3 linked regions of the Cricetulus griseus genome follow. The protein of the gene in region 2 interacts with the protein of the main gene of each other region in a biochemical or structural test. Links are inferred from orthologs where the notes say so. Each region holds a gene or a part of one and is shown on either strand. Other genes may lie near its edges.

Region 1 (9,862 bases), on a different chromosome or scaffold from region 2:
TTTCCCCTCCCATTTCTGTTTATACTGTCTTCTGGGCACTTCTCCAGATCTTTCCTGTAGGTCATTAATCTTGACTCAATTTGTATGTGTGTTTGGTGGTGAGAGTGTTGTGTGGTGTTCATGTGGATGTATGCACCTATCTGTGCAAGTGTGCATATGAAGGCCTAAGTTAGGCATTGAGTAGTTTCGTCAAGTGTCTTTATCTCAGCCTTCCTTTTTGTTTTGAGACAGGGTTTCACTATATTCTTAGTTGGTGTGGAACTCTGTGTAGACCATGCTGGCCTCAAACTCACAGGTACTCATCTTCCTCTGCCTCCAGAGTGCTGGCATTCATGGTGTGTGCCACCACTTCCAGCTCTCCACCTCATCTTTCGAGGCATTGTATCTGAGCCTGGAGCTCAGGCTAGGCTGGCTACCTAGTGAGCTTTGGACGTTCTTCCTGTCTGTCATTGTCCCATGCCTCCCAGCTTGAGTGGAGTCCATTCTGTACATGGGGACCGTGACACCAGAATCTTCTCTATTTTTAAATGGGTGCTGGGAATCCACACCCAAGTCCTCATGTATGTGCAGCAGACACTTTACCTGCTGAGCCTTCTCCTCAGCCCCTGGGTTATTACTACTTCTTTTCAAACCTCATGAATCATCTGAACAATGTAGCCCTTTAGTCGTTATAAAACTTCCAACTACTGTATTTAACATTTATTATTTTATGTGTATGAGTATTTTGCTTACATGTATGTCAGTGCACCATGTGCATGCCTGGTACCCACAGAAGTCAGAAAAGGGTTTCAGATTCCCTGGAACTGGAGTTACAGATGGTTCTGAACCACCATGTGGGTGCTAGGAATAAAACCTGGATTCTCTGCAAGAGCAATGAGTGCTCTTAACCACTGAGCCATCTCCCCAGCTCCCACTGATTTTAAATCGCTCCTTTTGTTCTTTAAATGTATATGAAACATACTAAACATGTTTATCTGAGTGTGGCAATTCTGATAGCCACTGTTTTTTGTGGGTCTGATGTCATTTCTGCTGATTTTCTTATGGTAGTTCTTAACTTTGTAATTTTTGACTGTATGCTATGATTTTAGAATTTGAACTTCTGGTTTCTTAAGGTCTGGGTGAATGCTGCATTCCCTGCATCTGTAGGGTTCTACAGATGTCCAGCTACAACGTCTCTAATTTTTATGAGGTCTAGTTTATCTTTTTCATTTTCTTGGCTGGTGCTTTTTCTGTCCTGGAAAAGAGTTTTCACACTTCAAGGTAATAAATAATTAGATATTAGTTACCTGGAGGTTAGAATTGAAGGTTTGTTGGGAGGAAGCTTACCCATCCCTGTCATAAGAAAAAGTCCTCCAGGGGTTTCTATCTCATATTACACTGCTAGAAATTCATTTTGGTTAAATATAACAAGTCCTTTCTTTCTCCCTAGGTTTCAGGAAAAGGAAGATTCTTGACCTTTTTTTTCCCTGGCAACTCAGCAACACCATTCCTCCTCTTGGAAGGTGAAGATATTGGTCCTTTGTTGCCTTCTCCTTCCCCGCTGGTGCTTTGTTCTCAGCATAAGATCATCACCCCCAGAGCACTCCTTCCCTTAGTTGAATTTACTAAAGTTATATTTTCTATGGAACCTTGGCATTATGTGTGTTATTTGTAGTCTTATTCTGGCCAGGCTGGTGGCATATGTCCTGTGATCCCAGAACTTCAGGGTGGAGGCAAGAAGGTTTCAAGCTTAAGGACAGGGAACTTACTATAATGAATCAAAGCCAGTCAAAGCTACCTAACAAGATGCCTAAAAACCAAAAATAACAATAATCTGTCTTATTCCAAAGGAAATTTAAATGACCTAGAATATAGCTTTAAAAAAAGAACAACAACAAAACTAAGGATAAAATAATGGAGTCTGGAATGAAGCTGTTATGTGTCTGGGGTCACTAAGAGAATCACCATGACCATAAATAAATTTTAATAAGAGGCTTTATTAAATACTGATACTGGATACTCATGGCACAAGGACTCCAACCAAAAGTGCTCCCAAAATGTAGCTTCTAGTTACATCAGCCCAAGGCTTATAAAGTCAAAAAATGGCAGGATTACATGTATTCTATGTGTAGGCAGGTCTGATTTTAACATACATGTCCTACAGTTGTCCTAGCCATTGAGCAGAGTAAGCAAGTTTGATTACAAAAGCAGAAATAGCAGTTAGTTTTATGACTTATTGTCTTGCTAAAATGGCAAATTTGACAAGATCTGTCAATTTAAGAATAGTCTTTACAGAGTGGTTGTGGTGCATGACTTTGATCACAGCACTTAGGAGACAGGGGCAGGCAAATCTCTTGAGTTCAAAGCCAGTCTGTTCTACAGAGCAAGTTCCAGGATGTCCAGGGCTACACAGATAAACCCCATCTGGGGGGGGGAAAGGAGTGGACTGGTAGGTTACAGCCTGTACAAGCTAGGGGCTTACACGTTAACAGGCTTTTTTTTTTTTTTTTTTTTTTTTTGGTCTCTCAAGCATAGTAACTCTAATTGTAATGTTAACCATTACAAAGGCAAAAAAAAAAAAGCTGTTAGACATATGCATATATTCTATCTAAATCTAGTTCCTCATTGTAAGGAAACAAAATATTTGGATAGGTAGTGTTGCACGAAAAAAATAAAAGACCGAGAGACAAATATTGGGGTTCAAGCTGAAGATCAGGGAAGCAAAGCAGCCAGCCACTAGCTCTCACCTCAAGCTCAAGCTGAAAGGGCAGATCCACACACGAGCTCTTCACCAAGCCTCAAACTGCTGCCTCTCCTCAGTGTGGCTGGAGAATGAATGCCTCCTACTGAATCCTGAAGACCCTGATTCTATCTTCTATACCCCTCTAGTGCTGGGATTAAAGGTGTGTTATCTGTCACTCTTTTAGACCGATTCAATGTCATGTATCCCTGGGTGGCCTTGAACTCAGAGAGATCCATCTACCACTTAATCCTGAGTTTCAGGACTAAAGGTGTGTACCACCACCTCCTAGCTTCTGACTGCTGGGATTAAAGGTGTGTGCCTGGCTTCTATGGCTTGTGGCTGACTTTGATTCTGAATCCTCAGGCAGGCTTTAATAAATCATAAATAATATATCACTGCAAGTGATTCAACAAAATTTAAGCAGATGTCTTTGAATTTGTTGCGGCGCCCCCCACAGCCTAGCCTTGGTATTCTTCAAACTGGGAACTAGAATAACAGGGAATACTTTTATTTTAGGACCTACCACGCTGGGAAAATTCCAAATTTAGTGTGCTCTCCCTCCCAGACTTACAGAGAGAGGACTAGAACCCAGTGCGTTTCCTGCTCCTGGAAAACGGTTTCTCGACAGAATGATAAGAAAATGGAACTTGGCCGAGTCCCACTTACTTTCCCGCCCAGGTTTATGGGTACAGCTGACAGGGTTAGGGGTGCTGAGCACACAGATCGCACATCCTCTGCGCTCCGCAGCTCCGGAGTTGACTCTTCCCCCAATGAACTTAGGCCCTGAAGGAGCTGGCCCCGCCCCACAGTGACGTCACTTCTGCTACCTGCGGCGTCTGCGCAGTGTTAGAATACGGCGGAACTGATCTGGCGACGCCTGCGCTTTTGCCCGAGCCGTGCCGGTGAAGGGAAACTGGGTTCTGCAGGATGCGTCACACCCGGAAGTGAAAGGCCGGAAGTGGGATTGGACAGGTTATGCCCAGGGGTGGGGAAGCAGAGGCCCTGGAGGAAGGGAAGAATAAGAATCCAGAGGTTCCTGGCCGCTACTCTGAATCGAGTACCGGATCTCTTAGATCCCAGAAGCGCAGAAAAAGGGAAGGGTGTCCCATCCCGCTTCCTGGCTTTTCGCTTTAGCCATGGCGGAGGCAGGGGCCGGGCTGAGTGAGACCGTCACTGAGACAACGGTTACCGTGACAACCGAGCCCGTGAGAAAGGCGGGCGGGGGGGCCTATTTAGGGGTCTGGGAGGAACTGGGAGGGAAGTAGGGCTTTGGAAAGTTGGAGGGTTTGGGATCTGGGACATGTGGGGATGACTCTTGGGAAGATCGCCAGGGACTGGGGATGCTTGGAGTGGCTCAGATCGTGATAGTGACCAGTCAAGGGACGTTACAGTCAGGGTATAGGTGTCACGGCTTGATGCGGTGGTCTGTGTACGTAATAAACGGAACCTGGGTTAAGGCAGCAAGGAAGGTCCTGGGAGGGAAGGAAAGGCTATTTGAGAAAGCATGGTTTTGGAGGCAAACGTAAAGGACGAGTACTTAACCAATAGATAGTCATGGAATGGGTGCGTGTTAAAGTGGGGGGCAGGGAATAAGGAAACAAAATAAGGTGAAGGTAGTATTTTGACAGATCAGAGAGGAGAGACGCAAATAAGGAAACAAGTAGAATTTTGCAAAAGCAAGTTAAATTGCTTTCAAGGGGAGGAAGATGGGTTGGGCGTAATGTCTGGGTTGAAGGAGTTTAGTAATTATTGCCAGAGATGCCAGGATGTTAGAGAATGAAGGCTTTCTTTGGAGAAGAAGGGTTTTGGATTTTTGTTTTATTTTGCTTGTTCAGGTGTGGCAGGGGCAGAAGTCAACCTTAGATTTTTCTCAGGCACGGTGTACCTGTTTGTGTGTGTGTGTGTGTGTGTTTTGTTTTGTTTTGTTTTGCTTTGCTTGTTGATTTGAGAAAATCATTTTTCCTGGAGCTGCCAAGTCAGCTAGACTGGCTGTCAAGAGATCTGCCTGTCTTCACATCTCCAGTACTGGTATTACAAACATGCACCACCACTACACCTAACTTTTTTTTTTTAAATATGGATTTTGGGAATCAAACTCAGGAAGCACTTTACCAACAGAACTGTCTCGGAAGCCCTGCTTTATTATTATTTTTTAAATTTTTATTTTGTTTTTGAAAGGAAAAGCTTTACCACATTGCAGAGGCTGGCTTCTGTTGGCTTCTGTCTCCGTCTCCTATATGCTTAGCTCACATGCTTCTAATCTCTTTAGCGGGAACGTAAGTAAGAGGTGTGGAGAAAGGAAGGAAGGCCAAAGACCAGTCACAGGGAACTGAGAAAATAACTCTCCGGTATTGGCACCACCAAGGATGATTTGGAAGGAAGATGAAGAAACAGGGAGGGTTGTGCTTTCCTTTGGAGATTTACCGGCACCTTCCCTAGGTTAAGGACTGTCCTTTTTGCATACTAGTAGTTTTCAAGAATAGGAGTTCACATTCCTCATGAAAAGGTTAAAAACATGGTCTGTTTTGGCTCCCAGCACCCGGCTCCTCCAGTGGCCTGGTGTATGGTACTGATTGAGCAAGGGAGGAGAAAAGAGGAGGTACCTTGGGAAACAGGAAAGGTCAAGAGGAGATTAGCTAGATGGGCCCATACCTCTTAACCTTACAGGAGAATCGGAGCCTAACCATTAAACTTCGGAAACGGAAGCCAGAGAAAAAGGTGGAATGGACAAGTGACACTGTGGACAATGAACACATGGGGCGCCGCTCATCAAAATGTGAGTGCTGTTGCCCCAGCAGCCCTCACCACTGCCTCCCAGACCTTTACGGTTCTCTTTACTTTCTTGGGAAAGAAAATAGATGGGGATAGAGCTAAAACTAAGAGTTGCCAAGTCTGTGGAGCAAGCCATGTCGGAGTGGGAGAAAGATGCTTCTGGGTCTCTGAAGAGACAAAGAGTGTGGATGCCAGAGTCCCTGGGGTGGGAGGCTTAAGGGGCATGGATTCTGGAAGGTGGGAGAAAAATTGCACATAAATCTGTTGGAAATGAAACAGACTGGACATTGTGTTCCTCATCCTTCTTAACTGATTTCCTCTCCCTACATCTAGGCTGCTGTATTTATGAGAAACCTCGGGCCTTTGGTGAGAGCTCCACCGAGAGTGAGGAGGATGAAGAAGAAGGTTGTGGTCACACACACTGTGTGCGGGGTCACCGCAAAGGACGGCGTCATTCAACCCCAGGACCCACTCCAACCACTCCCCCCCAGCCTCCTGACCCATCTCAGCCCCCTCCAGGACCTATGCAGCACTAAATCCCTCTCACCATGTGTCTGCCTGGCCCCAAATGTATCCATCTGGCTACATGGGGATTCAACCCATGGTCTGATCCCTTCTCCTGCCCCCTCCTTCCCTCTCCTGCCTGATAGAGAAGAGGAAGAGGAGGGTGGATAGAGATCCTGGAATTCTGACTTGCTGCTGTTCCAGAACCCAGGCTTCTGGGTTCTCCCAGCCTCTCCTTCCCTACAGTTTGCTCTGTGCCTGGGATTCAGGCATCTTGGTCTCAGTCTGTCCCTTTTGTTCTCACTGCCAAAACACCTGTCCTGGGATCCAGTTATCTTGGCCACCTGCACCCTTAGCTTGAGTCCCAAGCATTTAAATTGGGTTTTCAACCATCCCAGCTTTCACTGCCAGGACCCCAGTCAGATTCCAAGCAATATTGCACCCCAGCTCTGCATATTAATCCTGGCTTACAGTTCTTCCACTTACGAAGTTATCCTAAATCTTAGTCCTTGCCTGTGGGAATCTAAGGTTTTGGGGACACCATAGGGTTCTGCTCTTACCCCTTCTGACCCTCAAAAGGGTCAGAACCTATAATGGAAAGTGGACCCCAAAAATAGTCATGACCTGAATATAGCATTTCTGAGCTGGCTGAGACCAATGACTTAGAGCCTACAAGTTTCTCAGCCTTTAATCTTTGAGCTTCATCGCTGTTGTCTAAGGGGCCTGGGTCCCTTAAAGGAAAGAGGGAGAAAGCAGAGATGAGGGAACAGGCCCTGCAGTACACTCCTACCCTTTCCTGCCTGATGTCTCTGCCAGCCCAGGTGTCTTGCTCTCTCAGCCCTCCCCAACTGGTGCTGGGATCTGGGTATTGTCCTCCAGGCCTCTAGCTGTGCACAGTACAGAGATCAGCAAAACCCATACCACCACTGAGATCTCATTTATTGCCACAGATGCACAAAATAAATAACCCAACATTGCGCAATGTGTTAAATACAGGTCCATTTATACACATGGGGAGGATGGGAAACTATACAAGGATGTTTGGGATGCCTGGACTGCTCCCAGATTGAGAAGGGGGGTAGCACCGTCGGTTCTTTTGTGTGCAAGATGGATTTCCAAGAGGATGTTTAAAGGGAAGAGGCTATGAGCATAGAAAACAGTCATAGAAGAAGTATAGAGGGTGGACTAGCTTGCATACACATCCCAAAATTTATATTTTAGGTTTTGGGTCTGAAGGGCTTAGGTTATGAGTTGATCATCTTATTTTAGGAGGACCTATTTTTCTTGAGGGGAATTCAGGCTCCAGCCTTCCTACTGTGGATCAGGCCCTAGCCCTTTATGATTGGCGATAAATGTGGACTGTTTCCCAGTACTGGTGGTATAGAGCCTTTCCCTATCCCTGCCTGGAACGGTACAGAAAGGGAACTCAAAGAAAAGGTTGGGTTTGGGCATGGAGACGCAGGACCAGACTGGCTTAAAGGCACGGATGTACAAGCCATTTTGAGGTCTTGCTGTGGGAGAAAGAATGTGAGTGGGTAAAGGGTGCTTATTAATGCTCCTGCTGCGACAGGTGTACGGACAAGATTACTGAAATAGGTGGAGATTTCTGCACCAGAGAGAAGTAGCCTCCAGGCTAAACTAGGGTAGGAGGTAGGGAACCCAGACACTCAGCCTTCTCCAGGCACGATGCGCAGTGGGGAGCGGGGATCACAAGTACAGAGCAGCGGGAAGACCCGCTCCCCCAGCGGTCTGGGCGCCTGGAAGGCGAAGAGCAAGTCCAGTGAGCGGCCGTCATAGAAGGCCACACGGCCCCGCTCCCAGTCCAAGTCCACGCGAATGCGCTGAGGCGGGGGCCTGGCTCCGCCTAGCAGAGTGGGCTCTGGGGCCGTGAGTGCCCATAGGCGGCCGCCACGGCCCTCCACGGCCCAAACAGCCTCGGATGGGCACAGCTTGATGAGGCCCTTGCGCGTCACCGATTCCCCGGCCGCGCCCACGGCATAGCAGCTCTCTCCTGCATCCTCATTCTCCGAGGCAGAGTCTCTGAAGGACGCGCCCTCCACGGTCTCCACCTCCCAGCAGTGGCGGCCTGACGCGAAGCCCTGGGCACCCAGCACGGCTAGGAGCTGATCGAAGCGGGCAGGGCTGTCCAGCGGCTCTGGCGTTCCAGGTGGAGCCAGACTCACGCCTCGGTTGTCAGAGGAGATGAGCAGACCACGGTGTGCAGTGCGAGGGTCAAGTGTCAGATCAGCTGCAAAAGAGAGGCCGGGGAACACCACATGATAAGTTTCTTGAGTCCGGCCAAGAAGGGTGGAGAAGAGACCCTGTCTTAAGAACAAAACAAAAGGCATAAACCCTTGAATCTAAGCATCTGGGTGGGGTGCAGGAGCCAGGTCAGCAAGACTTCTGAGGGAGGCTGAAACCTGATAGGAACCAAAGTGATTGAAGGAGGGGCAAAGGGAGGACTCTAAGGTATCCAGTAAAACCAGGCCACTCACCCTCGCAGAGGCAGGAAGGGACAGGCCCGTTTCTATAGGAGATGCAGCCAGAGGAGAGACAGAGATGGCCAAAGGGACCAGAAAGAGCCACTGACTTTATAGGTGTGGGAGTGGGGGAGGGGAGCTTTAAGGAAACACTTCTGGATTAGGAGCTAGAAGTAATTTGGATTAAGTGAGATGAATGTGTGACTAAGGGGTAGAGCATCTTCTCCAGGCACTTTAAAAACAAATGGAGAGCTAACTTGGGAATGGGCAAAGGGGTAAGAGATACTGGACTCTCCGGACCCTTCTCAAGAGCAAAGGGAGAGGGTAGAAGCAGGGGTTCCTGAGAGCGATCGGGTACCGTTTAGGTGTCCACAAAAGGATGAGGGAAAGTGGCCGAGATCTGAGGAATTAAGGATGATGTTCTGAGTTTAATCCTGCGTCCCGCCAGGTGTGGTGTTACATACTTGTAGCCTCTGCACATTAGAGGAAGGTTAGAGGCAGAGACAGGAAGGAAGGGATTGACTTCTACACCAGCCTGGGAGACACAGGAAGACACTGTTTAAAAAGACTGGAGAAGTTTCACTTTTGTTACCCAACTTTCTGAATTTACTCTACGTGGGAAAAGTATTTTCACAAAGGGAATCAGGTAAATACTGAGACCAATATTCGGGTGGGCCCTGATGCAGTATGACCACTACCTTAAAGGGGAGAGGAGACACTGAGACACAGACAAGGCACACAGAAGGAACCCCAGGTAAGACTATATATGGGCCAAAGGAGTGCTGAGGCTTCCAGAACCCAGGGGAGAGGCATGCAACAGATTTCTCCTGAGCCCTCACACTTCTACCTCTATACTTTGAGGTGTGGATGGTTGCTCAGTTCACCTGTTGTTGGCACTTTGTTATTTCAGCCCTAGGACATCAAAACCGATACCAAAAGGGGCTTCACCATTTCTGACAGTTGAAAGGAAGCAAACAGCACACATTACGTTCCCCTTCCCTTCCCTCCTCACCTGTCAGTCTGTGAAGCATGTTCTTTACCACAGGGTAATCTTCAGGTAGCTCCTCCCCTGAGTTAGATGACTTGGGTGTTGGGACATCAAATCTGGACAAATGAAGGAAGTTGTCAGCATTCTTGTGTCTTGATGCTAGTTCGGATGACCCCAATCCTAACCCACTTGCTCTCAACAGAAACAGGTGAGGCTATACTCCAGAAAGCCTATTGGTAAGTGGAGACAAAGATCTGGCCCTGGAGAGGAGGTGATGGCTATGGCAGCAGGCAGTTGAAAGGAAGAAACGGTAAAAATGGAACTCACCGTCTCCATGTCTTCCTCATATCCTGGTATGGGCAGAAGAAAAACAACATGGGTGTGAGCATCAGGTTC
Region 2 (9,828 bases):
GATATATCCACAAGGCTCAACCCGGCCATGCTTCTACTTATCCAACATCTCTTGTTGGCCACTAATTCTGCAGCTTCTCCTTCTGCCCTCTCCTGCCCTTTTATCACATTTTCTTCCATGCCTCTTTGTCCCAGACCTTCGGGGCTTACTTAGATTTTAGCAATTGTTTAAGGCCCATGCTAAGCATATCACACAGTTCATGTCATTTAATTCTGAGTACAATTTGACATAAAGAATGATCTGTAGAGGACATGCCCAAAGTTCTGCTGCTGGTATACAACCTCTCATGAGTGAATTTGTTAAAGAAGCTGTCGGACTGTCCTGAAAGTTTTCGACAGATTACACACTTCACGTAGGCTAAACACATAGACAATATTATGTCTAATATTTCTGAAAATGAAAGTTCGTTGGTGTTTTATTTAGCTTCAACTGACCAAAAGCAAACCAGGGAAGGAAAGGGTTTATTACATTATACAGGGGTTAGCCATTACTGAGAGGGGTAATGTCAGGGACCTGGAGGTGGGAACTGAAGCAGGAGAAATGCTACTCACTAACTTGGTCTCTATGGTTTACTCAACATACTGTCTTATACAGTAAGACCATCTGCCCAGGGATGGCACCTCCCACATGGGCTGGACCAGCCACATAATTCATTAATCAATTAAATGCTCCCACAGACATGCCTAGAGGCCAGTCAGATGGAGGCAATCTTTCAAGTTAGAGTCGAGCTTGTGTCAAGCTGACAAAAACTAACCAGTGCAGTTGGCGTAAAAAGCCAGTGTGCCAGGTGTGGTGGTGCTATCAGTCTCTGGAAATTTCAATGTTTGGGAGGCTGAGGCAGGAGGATTGCCTGCTCGAGGGTGACAGTCATGTCACTCATGTAAAAATTCGTCAATCATGTAAAAATTCGAATATTAAGTTTACTGCACTGAGAGCAAAATTAAGTCATTCTCATGAGCTCAAACTAGGGAGCCAAAGGCTAAATACTCCACTACTGAATGAGTAAAACGTAGGTACAGAAACACATTAAATCTTTGAAAAATATTTTTTTGAGGGGGGGATATAGACATTAAGGAGGCAACTAAAATATTACACACATCTACATCTACTCATACATCTTGCAAGTGAGAGTTAAGTGAAAGGATAGTATAGTCAAACCATGCCGAGATACCAACCTGCTGATTACAAAGACACACTGTACCTGACAATGCAGTGATGTGGTGGTCAGCACCTTAACCAAGTGAGCATATCACCAAGAGTGGGGAAACTTGGAATTATATGGCTCCTGATGTGACATAATAAAAAGCAGACAGTGTCACTTATCTAGTACTCTTGACAAAAATGTTTAACAAGAATCTAATTATGAGGAAACAGTGATCTAGAATGTGGCACATTTTGAGACATTTGGTTCCTTTAAAAAGTTTAGATTATGCAATAAAGTTTAGATTATGTAGGTGAGCTAAAAACAGGTAAAAAAGAAGCAAGCATGCCCTGCATTCAAAACTCAACACAGGAAAACTCAAATGCAATGAGTAGTATCTAGCTGGGTCTCCAAAGGTGACTGAAAAAAGTGACATCATGTCATCACTGCTAATTTTCAGGTTATACTTTATTATTTAGGTTATATATTTTATTCTTAGGGGATGCACAGGAAGATATCTAGAAGTTGATGTCATGAAGGTATAATTTGCTTTCAGATAGTTGAGTAAAAAAGAGCCAGGATGCGTGAATGAGGGCAATGCTCTGACACACTAACAACTGGTGAATAAAAGTGAAATAGCTAATGTTTATTCATTTTCCTAACCTTTACGTTTGCTATGGGCTTTATAATTTCTAAAAGAAAATACAGGGAGAAATTATAAGGATTTTGCTTATCATTCAAGTACAGGAAGATATAATTTTTGTCTCCCCTACAAAAAGAATGTGAAGTGACAAAAACCTAATGTCCACTTAATTTTTCTACTTTTGACAAAATTATATTTTTGAGAATGAGAGATAAGAAAATTTAAGTTTGCTCTCTACTGTAATACTAGAAAACTCAACAAAAATATTCACAATAACAATATATGTGATTCTTCTAAACCTCTAGTTTGTTGTTTTTATAGTTCAGAGATCTTAATGACAACAAATACATCCAGGAAGTCATCTGTTAGACTAGGTATCACATCACAGAAACTTCAGGATTTACAGATTCTTCAATGGGGGACTAAAGACTCCTATAGGTCCCGTGCATGGCAGTGAGAAACCCGCTGGCCCTCAACTGACAGACTGCACATGAATGCTGCTTTGGAAGGGTCTGCACATTTCACCAGAGCTCAGTGAGCCCGAGGACAAACATTAAAGAGCCATCATGTCTGAGAAAAAGGATTGCATATGGTGCCTATGATAATATCAGACACCAAGGTAATTCTTCAAAATATTTCTTTTAGCTAACTATAAAAATTTTGCAATAGTACCTCCATATCTATTTTTTAAAAATTAATTTTAAAAATCCTCAAGGTCATTTAAAATAGTTTAGGCTCAGTGGGCTAAAGAGGGTAGAAGTCTGGGGGCAACACTCACCGATGCGGCAATGTTCTTGGGCTCTTAAAGGCTGCAGCTGTAGATTTGTCAGGCTTGGAAGACTTGCATTTCACTTCATCTTCATATAATCCTGCCAAGGCCAACTACACATAACAACAGGCTTGTTATTCAGTTAGCAATGGAAACAGACTTCTAGACAGCCAAGGAACAGGTACCAGCTTGAAACTGAGCATTAACAATTTTCTATGAAAAACTGAAGGCTGTTGCCACAAACGTTGTCTTTCCAAAACGAGCAACTCCCGAAGTCTCACACTATTCTATTATTCAAACTGCCTTGGGCCAGAGAAAATTTGTTATGATAATTCTTTTAATTAACTATTCAACAGTTTCAAAAACTGAGTTTGGCAACACAATGGTTTCACATTTGGATCTGTGTAACTTCCAGCTTTTAAAGAACTTTTGAGGACAGTTCACAATATTGCCAATTTCTCTAAATCAATCTCATAATATAATTTCACTTAGCTGTTTTTAAAACTCAAGAACATAAAACAAGCTCAAAAGTACTGCTTTAAAGTTTATCAGACATAAATTTCATCAAGTTCAGAGAAAAGAGCTAAAAAAAATGAGATAACATTTAATGCAAAATTACATATTGCAGATATGTAGCTGAATACCTTCTAAATAAAGTAAAAATATATTTGTCCTTGAAACAGAATTTAAAATATTAATCTGATTATTACAGGTTCCCCCCCCCACTTTTGCTATTTGGGGCAATAATTTAAAATTTTTCAGCCTGGCATAGTGGTACATGCCTTTAATCCCAGCTCTTGGGAAGCAGAAGCTGGAGGATACCTGTGATTTTTGAGGCCAGCCTGGTCTACACAGTGAGGGGACTGTCGGGGCTGTGTAGAGAGACTGATTCAAAAGACAAGCAAAACAAAAGAAATTTCCTTAATGCTCCCCACTGGCTATTCAGTCGGTATGATTTTTGATCTTTGGTCTCCCACCCACTTTACAATCAAACAAGCCCACTCCCTCACCAAGTAACTATTTGTGTATTATTACCTCAGAAGGAAAAGATGAATAAATAAATGAGGCAAACTTAGCCAGTCATTTTCCAGGGCTGCAACCTGAACCCAGGCAGGGTCTAATGCATGATCATGTTTTTTTAAATGAAAATATAATTCCACCATCTCCCCCTTCTTCCCTCCCATGTTCATACACCCCCTTGTTCTCACTCAGCTGGATCCAAGCCTTAACTTAGGCACTTACTGTGTAAGTTCGGTGGATTACTGAACATCGCTGAGTTTAGTTTTTATGTCTTTAAATGCCTACCAAAATTTAAAGACATAAATTTAATCAGTTGAAAGATTCATGTAAGTAAAGTACAGGCACGTCCATTTCATCACCACAAGGTCTTTTTTTTGTTTTGTTTTGTTTTGTTTTTCGAGACAGGGTTTCTCTGTGTAGCTTTGGAGCCTATCCTGGCACTTGCTCTGGAGACCAGGCTGGCCTTGAACTCACAGAGATGGGACTGCCTCTGCCTCCTGAGTGCTGGGATTAAAGGCGTGTGCCACCAACGCTTGTTGTCAGTGTCCCTGTTTTCACTATCTTCCAGCACAGTCATCTGTCACCCTTCACTACTTAACAGAGCTAGAGTCATTAGAGAGGAGGGCAACTCAATTGAGAAAATGCTTCCATAAGATGGAACATTTCCTTAAGTAGTGACTGTGGGTGGTGTCACCCCTGGCTTAGGGATCCTGGGTTCAATAAGAAAGCAGTCTAGGCAAGCCATCAGGAACAAGCCAGTTAAGCAGCACCCCTCTAAGGCTTGTCTCCAGGTCTCTGCTCTGCTTGAGTTCCTATCCAGACTTCCTTTGATGATGAAGAGTGATATGGAAGCCTATGACAAATAAAATCCTTTCCTCCCCAAGTTGCTCTGGTCATGGAGCTTCATCATAGCAATAGTAACCCAGACTAAGACAACAAGTTAAGTGGCTTCGGGGTCGCCTGTAACTACCAACCAATGCTCAATACCATTATAACTTTGCACTGATTTGGTCTATTAAAGCTAGTTTACAAGCCTGTTTCAAATCTGTGGATACCACACAACAGTATCCACTACTACTTATGGATTTGATGCCTTATTTATCTCCAAATTCTCCAAAGCTTGAGCAGAAAGTTATAACAGCAAGTGGTCAGTATGTCTGGTTAAAGAATGAAGATTAGGTATTAAAAATGTTCTGTCAAGGTTTGACAATTCAGGCTCATTTATTCTTACCTTTAACCCCTAACATACCCTAACATACGTTTAATTACTCAATTTTATCAGTGATCTCATGGGGAGATAGAACAATGCCTAAAATGAGCAAGTAGTGTTAGCATCTGATAAAACAGCATTTATTTAGGGGGCAAGTGTTCAGCTGACTAATGTCAATGTCACAATATACCGAGTTTTATTTCTGTTACATTGTTTCATGGATTACCTCTTATAAGTGGGCTGTAACCACGGACTGAACTGTTTTAAGCTCTCTCCTTAAAAAACCAGAGCTTTTTGATAAGGGGGGGGGACTGTTTTTAATGTGTAAGTCTTCAAATCTGAAAGCTCGTCCAAGAGAACAAATCAACATGCGTTATTTTTAAGTTACTTTTTAAGTGATGGCTGACTTATCACAGGCCATGGTAACTCTCCAGAAGGCAGGCAGCATCAACCGGGAGCCACCTAGATGGCCCCGCAAAATGACATTCCAAACAACTACTTGGTGCACCGTGCGTGGCGAAGGGGATCCAGGTGCTGGCGCCTGCCGCTCGGGCACCCGTTTCCACGCCCCCCACCCCGCAATGTGCCTCCGGGAGAGACCTTGGCTGGTAATCATTCTCCTCAGGCGAGGTACAGCGTGGCTGTGGCCCGCGCCCTCCTGCCCGCGCCGCGCTCCTGCCTCCGTACCTGTAAGTCCCGCGCACTCGGGGGCCGTGGCCTCGAGGACCCCCTCTCCTGCTCCTCAGGGTCCGCGCGGCCGCCCTCCGCCATCTTCCACCCTCTTTCGGCGCCCGCCCCGGACTCGCGACTTCCGGGATGGTTGCTTAGCGACCTGGGAGGGGCGGAGCCTCTCGGTGACCAGCCCCTCCGGGAGGGGGCGGAGCCGTGTCTTCTTACGTCAGTCCTCGCTCCTTTCCCGCACCAGGCTGCAGTCCTTCGCTTTGGGCTTCCGGTCCTGCCAACCTTCCAGTCTTTGTTTGCAGTCACTGCCACTTGCTGGGTTGTCCTAGAGCGCAGCGTTGACTTGCTGATTCGTTTAACTCAACAGCTTCACCTTGCAAGTCTTGGTCCAATCTCTCATTTTCCCTTATCAAGGATTGGATGGTACATCCCTCCGCGTGGAACCGTGTGGAGGAAGAGGAACACAGTGAAGCTTTTGGCAATGAAATGGTGACTCTTAAGCCGCGGGATTGACTGAGTTCTTTCCTGTCTTATCCTAGGCACTTACAACCTCTCAAGGATTTCCCAGGTAGAAAAAAGAAGTCCGGTCCTCTATGAAACTTAAAAGCTAGTGAGGGAAAGACATAAACAGGTAACAGAATAAATTTGTAAATAAGCTTTGCAAACAGTATTATGGAAGGCCTGTATGTGAATGGAGAATAATCCGTTGGTACCCGCTGTGTGCATCGTGCTGCCGTACCAGCTTACAGTGTGTTGCTTTGGCATGTTCTTAAAAAAAAAAAAAGGCAAATTTTACCATCTAGAGAAGTTGAAATGGAGAGGTCTATAACAGACCTCTTAGAATTAAACCCACATCCTAGCCAATTTTGCATGATGGCCGCTGGTATGAAAATATATCCACATAGGCCTTCAGGTTCGTATGAAGACACTAGTCACATGAAAAAATTTTTTCAATAAAATTTGTGCCTTTTTCTCCTGTGAATCTATTCGGTTTCATTCTCAGGCCCAGCTGAGACTCTGAGAGTAAAGGAAGACGTCTCCTCCTCCATTTTAATGTATTCCACATGTATTTGAGCAAAGCAAATGATAGTTAAATTCACCTTGTAACTAGCAGTACAAACTACCATACCTTGTAGTGCTGTCCTGATATTCTAAATACACATTCTGCCTTAAAGGGTCCCATTAGCCGGGTGTTGCTGGCGCACACCTTTGATCCCAGCACTCGGGAGGCAGAGGCAGGGGATCTCTGTGAATTCAAGGCCAGCCTGGTCTCCAGAGCGAGTGCCAGGATAGGCTCCAAAGCTACACAGAGAAACCCTGTCTCAAAAAACAAACAAACAAAAAAAATGGTCCCATTACTTCTTTGACAAGAAATGACCCAAAGAGCCAATACCTTTTTATGTGGAGCCTTGAAGAAGTAATTCCCACAGACCTCAGATCAGGAAGGACAAGCAAAGAAAGATGTGTTCTAAGACACAGATATTGGAAGTAGCATGTCAAAAAACAAATAGTACATGGTTGTTTAACAATGGGAAAACATGGGTCAGGAGAGCCCTAGATTGGAGATGTAGGTGTGAGATAGATTCTAAAGGAATAAAATGAATAAGTGGACATCCTCATCAGGTACAGACAACTCTAACTTTATAACTTAAGTAAAACCCTGTATGTGTGTAATTGTACTTATGCCGAACATCACTGAGGTCAGGATCAGAAATGGCTTTGTTTCATCTGTTGAAAGATTTTTTTTTATCTTGATTCTAAACCGTTCCATAGAATGGAGTATAATTACCCTTGGTAAGTTCAATGGCTTGCACAGACCATGTATATTTCCTTACAATAGCCATCTGGATTAGATATTGTCTTTGTAACATGGAAGTAAGTGGGGAACAGAGAAATAAGATGTATTTTTGTGCCACTAGGTTAATAAGCCCCAGAATTAAGTTTTAAATTCAGGTGCACTATTCTCAAAAGTTCATACTTTTCTCTTGACACCATCACCACCCATTCCTCCCTCCACCTCCAGCTGTTCTGTAGCTCCTGGCAAGACTGCATCAAGTTAACTCCTCAAGGACGCCTTGCTACCTTCATTATTGTTCTTTTGGCCATACCTCAACAACATCCAGGTCCTAAGCAATGATATTCCCTCAGGTTCTGCTTTGACATTTCTTTCTTCTTTTTTCTTTTTCATTTTTTTTTGCTGTATGTGTTTTTATTGTATATCCATTCTTATGCCTGTCATGCATTTACAACTGATTCTCATTATCCACAGTTGTGTTCCACAAACTTGATAAGAACACTAAATTATTGAATACTGAATTATTGCTGTTGAGAGATGCAAGGTTATGTCCTTGGAGCCTCTGTTTATATTTATCAGCTAACTGATGCATAACCTTGCTATATGTCTGTTTCTGTGTAAAGACACCTTATTTAATATATACTATGGTTTCATTAACATTGATCTCATAGCCCCAGCACTATAATTCTTTCTTGAAGGAAGCTTGCCTAACATGTTTTCTCTTGAAGGTACATCTGCTTAGGAACACTAGACATTACTTCAGCACTGCATTAGCAGGCAGCTTTACATAGATTCCAAAGGAGAAGTGAAGCTGGATTTTCTTTCCTGCCAGCCTGGTCCTGCAGCCGCCTCAACCCCAAATAAGCACATGTAGACTTATATTAATTATAAAACTGTTGGCTGGTGTCTTGGGCTTCTTATTGGCTTGCTCTGTCTTAATTATTAACCCATTTCTTTAATCTATGTGTTTCCATGTGGTCTTGGCTTACTGGAGAACGCCTGGCATATCCTCTCTTCCCAGGCTGTCTCTTCCCAGGCTCTACATTTCCCAGAATTCTCTTCATCTCCTAGCCCTGCCTATACTTCCTGCTTGGCCAATCAGCCAATCAGTGTTTTATTCATCAACAAAGAAGAAAAACATATACTGAAAGACACTCCCATCAGAGAAGCACAGAATATGAAGGATGTGGCATTAAGTAAACTGCACAAAGGGTTACTTGTTTACAGAGGAAGAGCTGGAAAAGGCAGAGTGTCACCTTGTTTGACATCCTTTGGAAATAAATTCATTCAGCAACTTAAATATTTGCTTCCCTGAACATGTCTGTGTTTTGGGGTGAAAAGCAACTTCTATTAAGTATATAATTCTGTATATATGCACTTTTCAAATAATGCAGATTGACTGTATCTAGAGTTTCCCCGCCTATTTTTCCAGTTTTTTCTATTACTCCAGACCAACATTCCTAATTGCTTTTTCAAATTATATTTCCATTTGGATGTCTCAGAAACATTGCTGCCTCAACCCCAAACCCTCTTCTTTCTCCTCCAAACTTCCGCCTTTTGCTTCTGTTCCTTATGGTATCATCATCTAATTTCTATTGGATATTAGTCATCTGAAGGTCACTAGAACAAGGGCTCTTGAAGTAGATGTTGTGGCCAACAGCAGAAGTTTCAACATTTTTCCTAGCTGAAGTATAGCTCCAAGCAAAGTATTCTAAGCAGTGGGATTGCCAGGAGAGAGGGTATATAATTGACAGTTTCCCACCCAAGGTATCCAAGCACCAAGAAAAAAGACTGACAGGTGTCAGTCAGAAGGTGAGGTTTTAAGAATATATAGGACTGGCTTTGAGAAGGGTGAGGTGTGGCTTGAATGGAGAGGATTGGAGAGATGGGCTGAAAATGATAAAAATGACCATAAATGCAATGCTAAATGTTTGGTTCTTATTTCTACCAAAATATCTAGAAGAATCAAAGGGTTTGGTGGATAAAAGCTAATCTTTGCATTTTAGCATTAATACTTGCATTGACCAGATCAACAGAAGGCAAGACACAACTCTGAGGAGTGCCATAAGCATTTGGAGGCATCTTGTGGGTGGAGGCAGAGAGACCATGAACCAAATCAGGCTTGTGATGGGATGGAGGTGGGATGTGGGCTCAGTGCTTCAGCACAGTTAGACCAGGTTTATTCTTGAAATATTCTTTGTGAAGATAGTGTATGTTGTTGGCATGATGACTATTTAAATCTTAAGTTTTGATGTCTTCTTTTTATAACAATTAAACCTGACTGCATGCTTATCTAACCCTGACTCATGCATCTTTGAGACAGGGCCTCACTAGGTTGCAAGTCTTGGTCTTGAACTCCTAGGTTCGAGCAATCAAAGCTAGTCCCAGAATTGAATTACAGGTGCCTATCAGCATGCCTGATTTCTATATTACCATACTTGATTGGTGATTTCAACATATGAGTCATATAACAATCTGTTTATGTTAGCTACTCTGAAATTTGTAAAGCTTTGGGTTCACTTTTTCTTGCATCTTTGCTGTATAGTGAACATTTTAAAAGGATATTATT
Region 3 (9,826 bases), about 290 Mb from region 2:
GCCAGTGCTCTTAACCACTGAGTCCAACCTTGAGTTCTTAATCCTACTGCTTCAGATCCCCCGATGCTGGGATGACACCTAGGTTCACAGCTTCATAGCTGGTGATTCTCTTAAGACTTTATCTTGAAACTTTCTGTAAGAAGGAAACATTGCTGCTGCTGCTTCTTTTTTTTGAGTGCTTCTTTGAGTCTAAACTCTTTGTTCTGTCCCAGAATACTCTCTTTCTCCTCAATTTCCTTTAACTTCTTATCACTTACTACTATTTTTCCTAGTCCCCTTTTCCTGTTTCTTTTCCTTAGGGCAAACATGTACTAGCATCTACAGTGGAACCAGCTTATACATCTTGACCTCAGCACATGTCTGCCTCCTCCAAATATTAGCAGACTATGTGCTGGTCAGACTGTTTCTTCATTGGAGGCCTTAGAGAGAAGCATGTGTGTGGTAGGGGACCAGCTTAACACAGAAGAACTGGCCCTATATGGCCAACTGGCCCTATATGACTGACTTTCCATGATGCCTTTTCTATAACAATCAACAGTATCCAACTAAAATATGTTGTTTACTCATAATTTATAGGATATGAATTAATCTGGTGTTAAATAAAAGGAACTAGACAAATAAGAAGACATTACAAGAGTCGCCTTATCCTCCAAAGATAGCAGTAATTCACTGTCCATGAGCTCAGGAAGTTGTGACAGGAAGGCACTATAATTAAGGCAAGCAGGCCGGCCGGCCTCTGGTGTCCAAACCAGATACCGTGAGACTGAAAGCAAGCACTACTGGCAGTAGCACTGGACCAGCAGGTGGAACTAAGCCCATCCTAGGCTTCTTAGGATATGTGATGCACAGTACAAAGTTTTCTGTCTAATATAGCATCCAGCATGGGTTGTTACTGTCCTACTTGAAACACCAGCTTAATCTGGAATAGAGTTACCAACTGGAACAAATTTCTGAGTGTATCATAGTTGTAATTTCTAAATTAGGGATCTAGGGACATAGCTCAGCTGTAAAGTCTTACATAGCAGGTGTGAGGAGGCCCTGGGTTCAATCCTTAGTACCGAAAGGAAAAAAAGGGGGGTGGTTCTGGGAGACAGGTTAGTTAGTGAAGGGTTTCTGCAAGCACAGGAACAACACCTGACCTGTTTTCTGGAATCTATATGCACACATACATTTCACAAATGTGAACATGTGCACACACACACGCGCACACACACACACACACAAACACACACACACACACACACACACACACACACACACACACACACACACACACACACACGTTAGGAAAAATAGGAAGGTAATGATGGACATGTTTGAATATTTTACACTGCAACTTAAGTAAACGTAAGTGTGAGTGAGCAGTTCCAGTTTCCTTAAGGAGGAGAAATACATGTTCCCAGAGAATTACTATATATCTAGCAAGAACATGGACTTCAAGCAAGCTGGGCTCTAGCCCAAGTGGCCTGCCTTGCAGTAGGGATCTCTGGCTGACATGGGCCTTTCCCTCTCCTCACCTATCACACATTAGAGTCAGACCTCTTACAGCAGTTACCTAGCACAGTAACATAGCCAGCCAGGAAAGGACGCTCAGGACCACGGCACTCTGGTTTCCAAGACTTCCAGGTAGCCTAACTCTTCAGTGGCGCACACCTCAGCCTTTCTGTGACTGAGTCAAATGATGACGGCAGAGCCCTTGCTCTATGCACCCACATCACCCCCAGAATACCAGCTCTGAAGTTCCAAACTTGTGGTGGGTACTTTTTGTGGTAATCTCCTTTTGCCTTAAAATTTGGTTACCATAGTTACCAATCATCTTTGCTGGCACACAGTGCACAGTGCTATTTTAAAAAGTAGCTATGTTTTTACAAATTTATTTTTATAAAGGTAATGCATAATTATGAATACCTGAAAAATCCATACAAATCTGGAAAGTGTAAGAGGCAGCTTCCCCTCAAGCCTGCTGTTGAAAGAGATCCTCAGCAATGCTACTGTGTTTTCTCTTTAAGCAGGTACAACTAAATACTCATGCTTTCAACTAAAAATCATATTGCAAGATACACACTACATAGAAATCCCCCGCCCCAACAATTCAGCTGGGACATTTCTCGGTGGTTATATGTTTTCTGTCGTTCCTTTCCATGTAAACTGATTTACTGAGCAAGCACATTAGCACAGGCCATTACTGAGGAGGGTATAAAACCATCACAGGAAGCTGTTTAGTTCCCAATGGAGTGATTTTCCAGTGAGTCTCAGGCCTATATTAACATCAAGGTGGTTGTGGGCATAACAAGCATACACCCGTAATCTGAACATTCAAGAGGCAGGCAGATCTCTGAGCTTGAGGCCAGCCTGGGCTATATAGTGAGATCCTGTCTCAAAAAAGCAATGTTGAGGTTGGATCAGAAATGATTTCTTATCTTTGTGGCAGGATACATAAGTATAGCAGTTAACCACCACATTATTCTCTTCAGATTTTGTTTTCTGAGTAAAGGATTTAAAAATCATTTTCTGTTTCCGCTTTGGTGCTAATCATCACCTAGTGCCAATGTCATCAGCTGTAGTATTGTCCCTTCAGCAGAAATGGATCTGCTGCACCCATAAATGTAAATCAGCCAGTTGATGAGGCAGTACCCCAGAGAGCCGGCTGCCCTCTGCCAGCATGCCCAGCTGCCCAATCTACTGGGACCTTTGAAGAACACAACTACTCCTACAAGGAGAAATCATGTCAAAGCAGCAGCAATCTTAATAGCACACTTCCCACTATATGGGGAGTTCAAGGTTAACTATGCCCAGTACCTTCTGGGTCCTCCGTCTCCTGTTCCACTCCATCCTTCAGACTCTGCTCACTGAGGTCTGTCACGATGCCACCGATGTGCCTCTTCCCTTCCTCATCACCTGATTCTTCAGATTCAACCCGCCTGTCGACTGAACCCATACACGTCAGTGAGAATTCACATCCACTTCATTCGACAATTTGAGGAATATAGAACAGATTAACACAAGTTGTAAGTCAGCAAGACTTCTTTCTGAAATAGTTAAATTCAGTTGACATGAACATTTGAATGTCTTCTATGTCCCAACATTACTTAAGATATAGAGACAGGAACCAGGAGGCCACGTGGGCACAATTGACATGCTGTCCTTTCCCTCCAAGAGCTTGTAAAGAACTGCCAAGTGTTCTAAAAGCCCCTGGACCTGATCTGGGATCAGGAACACTAATGGCACCACATAGTGAAGTACCTTCCAGGTGGCTCTCACATTTGACCTGATATCCACCACAAGAACAAGAGGGAACCACTGTGAACCTTCTGCCATATACCTACATCAACAACAACAACAAAAAGACCAAAACTGGTTCAAATTATAGGCCCACATTCTGAAAGCAATCAAGACTAGCTAAAATCAGACTGTGGGCAGGGAGGAGCTCCAATGAAAATGAGGATGTATCAAAAGTGCCAAATGCCCTAGGTAAACTGCTGATGTTAAAGGATCACAGGACAGAGTGTTAGCAATGCAAAGCTTTTTAGAGTAAACAAACAGGTTTTGAGTTACGAAGAAAGCAACAATGAAAGGTGGCTTTGGCAAATGATCTTCCTAAACCTCAGTATTCATATCTGTAGAAGAGTTTGTGGAGTACCTCCCCGCCGTCAGGACCAAAAGAGAAAGGGCACAAGAGTGGCTCGGGTGCATGACATGTAGAATGTATGCATTCCCAAGAGACACAGGACCAGCTGTGATCCAGGATTAGGGAAACTAGGTTCTGTTTGGTATTTGCATGGCCCCCAGGAGGACCCAGAAGACAGAAGGGACAGTTGGTGCAACCTGTGCATCTATCCTCAGGACAGCAGAAAGGTTCTAGAGCATGGGGCAGTGTGCAAGAAGGTGACTGTGTGGCCTAGGTATGACAGGCTAGCAAAAAGGCCATAAAATCAAGAGGAGGAAGGTTTGAGTTATGGTATTGGCTGTGATAGAGAAGGTGACAAAACAGGTAGCTCACTGAGCATGGTGGCACATTCCTTTAATCCCAGCACTCTAGCAAACTGATGTGGGTGAATCTCTATGAGTTCTAGGTCAGCCTGGTCTATAGCAAGCTCCAGGCCAGCCAAAGCTACATAGTGAGACCCTATCTTAAACAAACAAACAAAAAGCCAAAGCCAAGCCAAACCAAAAAGAAAAAAAGAAAAAAACAAAAAAACATCCAAACCCACAAAATACACCCACAAAAGACATGGGGCTCTGGAAACTAGGTGTCAGCTGGCAGTGACATGTGTGGGAGTGGCAGAGAGGAAAGCCTGGCTTTTGTATTTGCCCTTTACTGAAAAACAGAGGAAGAAGGGGAGGAGGGTACTGTAGGAGGGAAGGGGAGAGGAAGAAGCATTTTCTTGCTTAGAAAAGATTCAAAGGCAAAATAAAACTAAAAAAAAAAACCCCAAAACACAAAACAAACCAGTATGACTCCCTTTAAGACTCTCCAAGACCTTTTCTAGAAAGTCTCACCGTCTCTTCCCAACCCCCACCTCATATGACAGTTTATTTAGGTCAAATTCTTCCATACTCCTTTGCTTCTGACTGGGTTTCCATTCTGGAATGGTATTGGTCCTCCCCACCTGTCCCCAGTCTGGATGACTTCTAGTGATCCTTCACGGCCCAACTCAGGGCAGCATGGCCACTCCCAAACACACTGGACTTTTCTTCCACGCCCATGCCCCTTGCTCTGCAACCCTCTTCACTAGTGACTGCGTGACTGCTCTTCCAGAAGTAACCCTCACCGAAATACAGAGCAGTCTTTAAAAGGCATTCAAGGGTTCAGATCTGCCTGATGCTACAATGGGTATAGGAGTGTGTCTCTATATATGCACATATACGCACACACACACCTATATGTACACATAAATACACACGATTATGTATCTACACAACTGTGTACAAAACAAGCACATGTGATATATATATATATATATATATATATACATATATATATATATATATGTACTTATATATGTATATAATGACACAATCCAACAGTGAAAAAAAGGAAGAAAGTTGAATTTAGTCCTTTCAAGACTCTGAATATGTAGAAAACAAGGCACCGCCTGGTAAACGCAATCAGCGGACCTCCTTGTTACCCATCGCTCTGCCACAGGCTATTCGCTTCCAGAGCAGCCTCTTTCCATGCATGCCGCGCGAACAAACTATGGACTTGGCAGGTCCACACGCCCGAAACCTCGGTTTCCCAAGGAGCTGACAGAGGACAGTCCCCCTGCCCCCTCGCCTGTCAATCTCGGAGCTTCTAGATTAGGTTCCCACGGCCGCGGCTTCCTCGCCCGCCCCCCTTTGCTGGCCGAGCTCGCGCCACGTTGTTCCCGGGGCTCTGGTCCTTCCTGACCGCAGCCGCCCTCGGGCCGGGGCTCCCGGGCTCCGAGCCCCCCCCCCCCCGCCCGCCCCTTCCAGTCCAGCAGGCAGCTGTCAGAGAGCCGTGGCTGCGGCCGGAGGCTGGAGGCCGAGCTCCGATCCGGCAAGAGGCCGTGCCCGCCCAGCCCCCAGCTCGCCGCCTCCTGGTCGCCCGCAGGGGCCGCTCACCCTCCATCATCTCCTGCGACTGTTGCGGCCCGCCGTCGCGCTCCGCCGCCATATTGGCTGCTCTTCCCCTTTCCGGAATCTGTCGCCTCAGGCTAAGGGCCAATCAGAACTCCCCGCCCTGTCAGCCAGCCAATAGAAGCGAGCATAGAAGCGCGAGCTGACACGCTTGCGTGGAAGCGGTGCTTCATGGGAGTTGTAGTTCCCGCAAGCCCCGGCTCCACCTGAGCTAGGCGTTTGAGGCTTGCGTGGAGTCTAGGCGAGCGGGGCGAAAGCCGACTTCCCGGCAAAGCATCAGGCAGCATGGCAGACATCTCAAGCTTGCGGGTTCGCCCACGTTACCGTGCCGACTTCGGAGGCGCGGAGGAGGTACTGCGGCCAGGAGAGCGCTACAGGCCACAGGTGAGGCAGGTTAGCCTCGTATCCCCGACCTCGGGAGCCTCGCCGATGTGTGTCAGCACCGGGGGCCGGCGGCCCTGGGAGACCGCTGTGTTCCGCGCCTGCGCGTTGGTTTACTGGCGCCACGGGCCGCTTTTTTGTCACGGATGCTCGGAGCAGGAGGGAGGGGCCGCGGTCCGGCCGGGGAGGGCACGTTCGCCGCCTGCAGCCCACGATGAACCCCCGTGTCGTCCGCTTCCGCTCACCCTCCACAGAAAAGGCGGGCCGCGCGTCGCTCACCGTTCGCGGTCCGCCGTGGGCGTAAACGGCAGCCCCGTGGCGTGGGGCAGAGACGTCGGTCTCTTTTGGCTCCTCGGAGGCGCGGTAGGGCGAGCGTCCGGCGAGTCCCTAGCAACCGTTGCGCGCGCTCTGCAGCGCGCATTCACCGAGGCCCGCCCATAGCGTGTCTGATTGGTTCTTGTCCCCTGTCACTCTGCGCGAGTCGTTCTGCGATTGGGCGGTGGGCTGGCAGCGCGCGGGATCTTCACGTTGTGAATCCGTCGGGGGACGATCGCCGGGCTCAGGTGAGACGCCAGTGTTCGGAAGAGCTTTTGCGGGTGGCGGCCGGCCAGGCGAGGTCTCACGCTGTCGTGGAGCGGTTCTGGCCCTTCCCTCGCGCGCCGCACTCCCTCCGCCCGGCCCCGGCCCCGGGTGCTGGCGGGTTCCGGCCGTTTGACCCGCGCACAGGGAGCCGCCAGCTCCGGAGTGCCCCGGCTGAACTGCAAGCTTCCCTTTTTAGGTCAGGCTAGCGGGCCAGTGAGCTCTGGGGATTCACTGATCTTCACCCCCTATGCTGGGATTGCAGGTACGTGCATCCATGCCTGGCTGTTTATGTGATTAAAGATGAAAACGCAGGTCTTCATGTTTGCATAGCAAGAACTTGTCACACAGGGACCATCTCCACAGTTCCTGTATGACTTTTAAAATAGAAGTTTGTAGCATTGACAGTTTAGCTTGAGGAATGGTATTTTTTTTCTATAAATTAAGGTTTCATAGCATTGTATGCTGAAGTGATACAACTTCGAAAAAACAAAGCAAGGTTTGGTGACACTGGCAGTGTATTAGGGAGACATAATTAGGTGTCCTGAGTTTTGTTTATAGGTTGGTTCTAAAAGCAGAAAACCACAGTGTGATCCAATCCTTATTTGCTATAGCAGGAATTAGTGCATTTAGATACCTAGAGAAGTACACCTTTGACATTAAAACTGCTACTTGAAGGAAAGTCATGCTTTCTAAAAATTCCTATCTCATACATATCTTTATTTTGTTTGAGACAAGGTGGGGTTATATAGCTTTGAATGCTCTATGTAGCTACTTTTTCTTTTTCTTTTTCTTTTTTTGTTTTTTTGGGACAGGGTTTCACTATGTAGCCCTGGCTGTCCTGGAACTCATTTTGTAGATCAGGCTGGCCTCGAGCTCAGAGATATGCCTTCTCTGCCTCCTGAGTGGTAGGACTAAAGGCATGTGTCACCACTGCCCGGCTGCTACTTTTATTTCATATTGCACTGTTGCTTTTTAGAATTGCACACTGAGTGTATGTGCCTGTGTATGTAACATGTAAAATAATGAAGTAAATAGTAATTACACATTATCAGTCAGTGGTAGAGGGTTTGCATAACATGTGGATAGCTCTGAGTTTAATACTCACTCACCTCCATACAAAAATAACAATTGCCAGGCTGATGGTGCCTTCCTGTCTTCCCAGCACTTGCAGTGCTTCTGGAGACCTTGCCTCAAAAAACAAAAGTAAATAAAGCCCAACAGTTTGGACTCAGCAATTTGGCTCAGGGGGTAAAGGCACTTGCCGCCAAAGGCTGACAGGGTTTGATACCTGGGACCCACATGGTAGAAAGAGAACTGACTTTCTGAAAGTTGTTTTCTGGCCTCCACACATAGGCACTCTCTCTGTCTCTGTCTTTCTCTCTGTCTCTCTCTCTGTCTCTGTCTCTCTCTGTCTCTGTCTCTCTCTCTCTCTGTCTCTCACACACTCACACACTCACATTTAATAAAAATACATTGCATCATTATGAAATAAATTGAGGACTGGAGAGATGGCTCAGCAGTAAAGAACACTTACTGGGCTGGGTTGTGTCGGCTCACGTCTTTAATCCCAGCACTCAGGAGGCAGAAGCAGAGGCAGACAGATCTTTGAGTTCGAGGCCAGCCTGGTCTACAGATCAAGTTCCAGAACAGGTTCCAAAGCTGTAGAGAAACTCTGTTACGGAAACAAACAAAAAAGAATACTTACTATTTTGTAGAAGACCTGGGTTCAGTTCCCAGCATCTACATGGTGACTTATCTGTCTGTAACTCCAGTTCCTAGGAATCTGATGCCTCTTCTGAGTTCTTCAGGCTCCAGCACACACACACACACACACACACACACACACACACACACACACACACACACACACACACACACACACACAGAAGTATTAAAAGAAATTAAAACAAACACATTTAAACCCAATTTAGGAAGTAGAAGGCTGTCCCATTTTGCCTCCTAATTTTAGTTCTCTTCCAGATTCAAGGGAACCATCTTTCTGAAGTCTGGGTTTTCAGTCTTGTTAAACTGTTTTTTTAAGCAGTGTGTTTAGGTTTTTTATATTAAAATAAAGGAATCTTGTTATATGTAATCTTTTGTAGTGGGAAGGTTCTCATGTCTTATATTGCTAAGATTCATTCTTTTTGTTTGTTGTTTTTGTTTTTTTAAGACAGGGTTTCTCTGTGTAACAGTCCTGGCTGTTCTAGAACTCACTTTGTAGACCAGGTTGGCCTTGAACTCACAGAGATCTGTCTGCCTCTACATTTTGAGTGCTGGGATTAAAAGCAGGTGTGTTCCTGGTTTAAGATTGGTTCTTGTACAATTCCTTGTTTTCACTGCTGATTATACCATAGCTTTCTTCTTCATGAGCATTTAAGTTTTATTTTCTTTTTGCTGTTCTTTCTTCTCTCTCCCTTCTTCCCTTCTCTCCTTTTTGCCTAGGTACCTGCCTTTCTTCCTGACTGGTTTACCAGCCCTTGCCTTTGTCAAACCATGCTGGCCCGAATAGTCCTTGTCTATCTTGCTGCTTATGTGGATAGCTTTCTCTAAATTGGTCCCTGCAATGTACCCTCTCAGGAAGTTTTCCTTCTCAGTTGGTTTGAAGATAGCATATTTGTGGAGGCCCATAGAAATGGCTTCCTTCCGTCTTGACTTAGGTCATTGAGTTTGAGCCTATTACTGCTCCTTCAGGTTATACCACAGGATGTTTGGCCTAAGGAGTAGTTATTGTATGTCTTACCTAAACAACTGAATATTTGGTTTAGGGTGTGGTTACTTGGTATTTTGGGTGTTAAGGAGGTAATTACATTTGTTTGTTCCTTGTATTCTGGTAAGGAAGTCTTTTGCCTTCCCCTCTTTTGATTGGGGTATATAAGAACTTGGAGCAATAAACTTGGGGCTGATCACGGTATTTGCTGGATGCCCTCCTGACTCTGTCTTCTGTTTCTTATCTATTTCTTTCCTCAATCCACACTCCTCCTATCAAACAGGGGTAAGTCTGCTGGACTGGACACATATTTGATACATGTAATTCTGAAAACCTTTCGGCCTGTGTTTGGCATTCTTTGCTTCTGAGAAGGTTATTAGGACATAATATTTTGTGGAGTTGGGGTCACATTGGCTCTCTACTGGAGTCTCTGTCCTGTTTTAGGGGTTGTAAGATAGCTTTCCTCTGATTTCAGGTCTTTTCATTTTTACCTTTTGGAAGTTCTTCCTTCCAATGTCTCAGAGATGTATGGAATGGCATTCTTGGTGAATGCTGGGT

What was found.
Region 1: the proteins of Ubxn2b (region 2) and Ppp1r11 form a complex in vitro, tested with the Homo sapiens proteins (2 studies listed by BioGRID). The link is inferred for Cricetulus griseus from reciprocal best matches to the Homo sapiens genes UBXN2B and PPP1R11.
Region 3: the proteins of Ubxn2b (region 2) and Ppp1r7 form a complex in vitro, tested with the Homo sapiens proteins (2 studies listed by BioGRID). The link is inferred for Cricetulus griseus from reciprocal best matches to the Homo sapiens genes UBXN2B and PPP1R7.

What each region holds. Positions count from the first base shown.
Region 1 is NW_023276806.1:228,770,280-228,780,141, forward strand, and holds Ppp1r11 (E3 ubiquitin-protein ligase PPP1R11), read left to right. Parts: upstream 1-3,700; 5' UTR 3,701-3,858; coding exon 3,859-3,927; intron 3,928-5,389; coding exon 5,390-5,498; intron 5,499-5,827; coding exon 5,828-6,030; 3' UTR 6,031-6,980; downstream 6,981-9,862. Other genes in the region: Polr1h (DNA-directed RNA polymerase I subunit RPA12), read left to right, coding at 1,430-1,454; Rnf39 (RING finger protein 39), read right to left, coding at 7,666-8,246, 9,491-9,582, 9,794-9,816. UniProt on the Homo sapiens protein: Atypical E3 ubiquitin-protein ligase which ubiquitinates TLR2 at 'Lys-754' leading to its degradation by the proteasome.
Region 2 is NC_048595.1:154,301,778-154,311,605, forward strand, and holds the start of Ubxn2b (UBX domain-containing protein 2B), read right to left. Parts: upstream 5,617-9,828; 5' UTR 5,555-5,616; coding exon 5,471-5,554; intron 2,667-5,470; coding exon 2,563-2,666; intron 1-2,562. UniProt on the Homo sapiens protein: Adapter protein required for Golgi and endoplasmic reticulum biogenesis. Involved in Golgi and endoplasmic reticulum maintenance during interphase and in their reassembly at the end of mitosis.
Region 3 is NC_048595.1:444,808,573-444,818,398, reverse strand, and holds the start of Ppp1r7 (protein phosphatase 1 regulatory subunit 7), read right to left. Parts: upstream 5,769-9,826; 5' UTR 5,636-5,768; coding exon 5,584-5,635; intron 2,929-5,583; coding exon 2,800-2,928; intron 1-2,799. UniProt on the Homo sapiens protein: Regulatory subunit of protein phosphatase 1.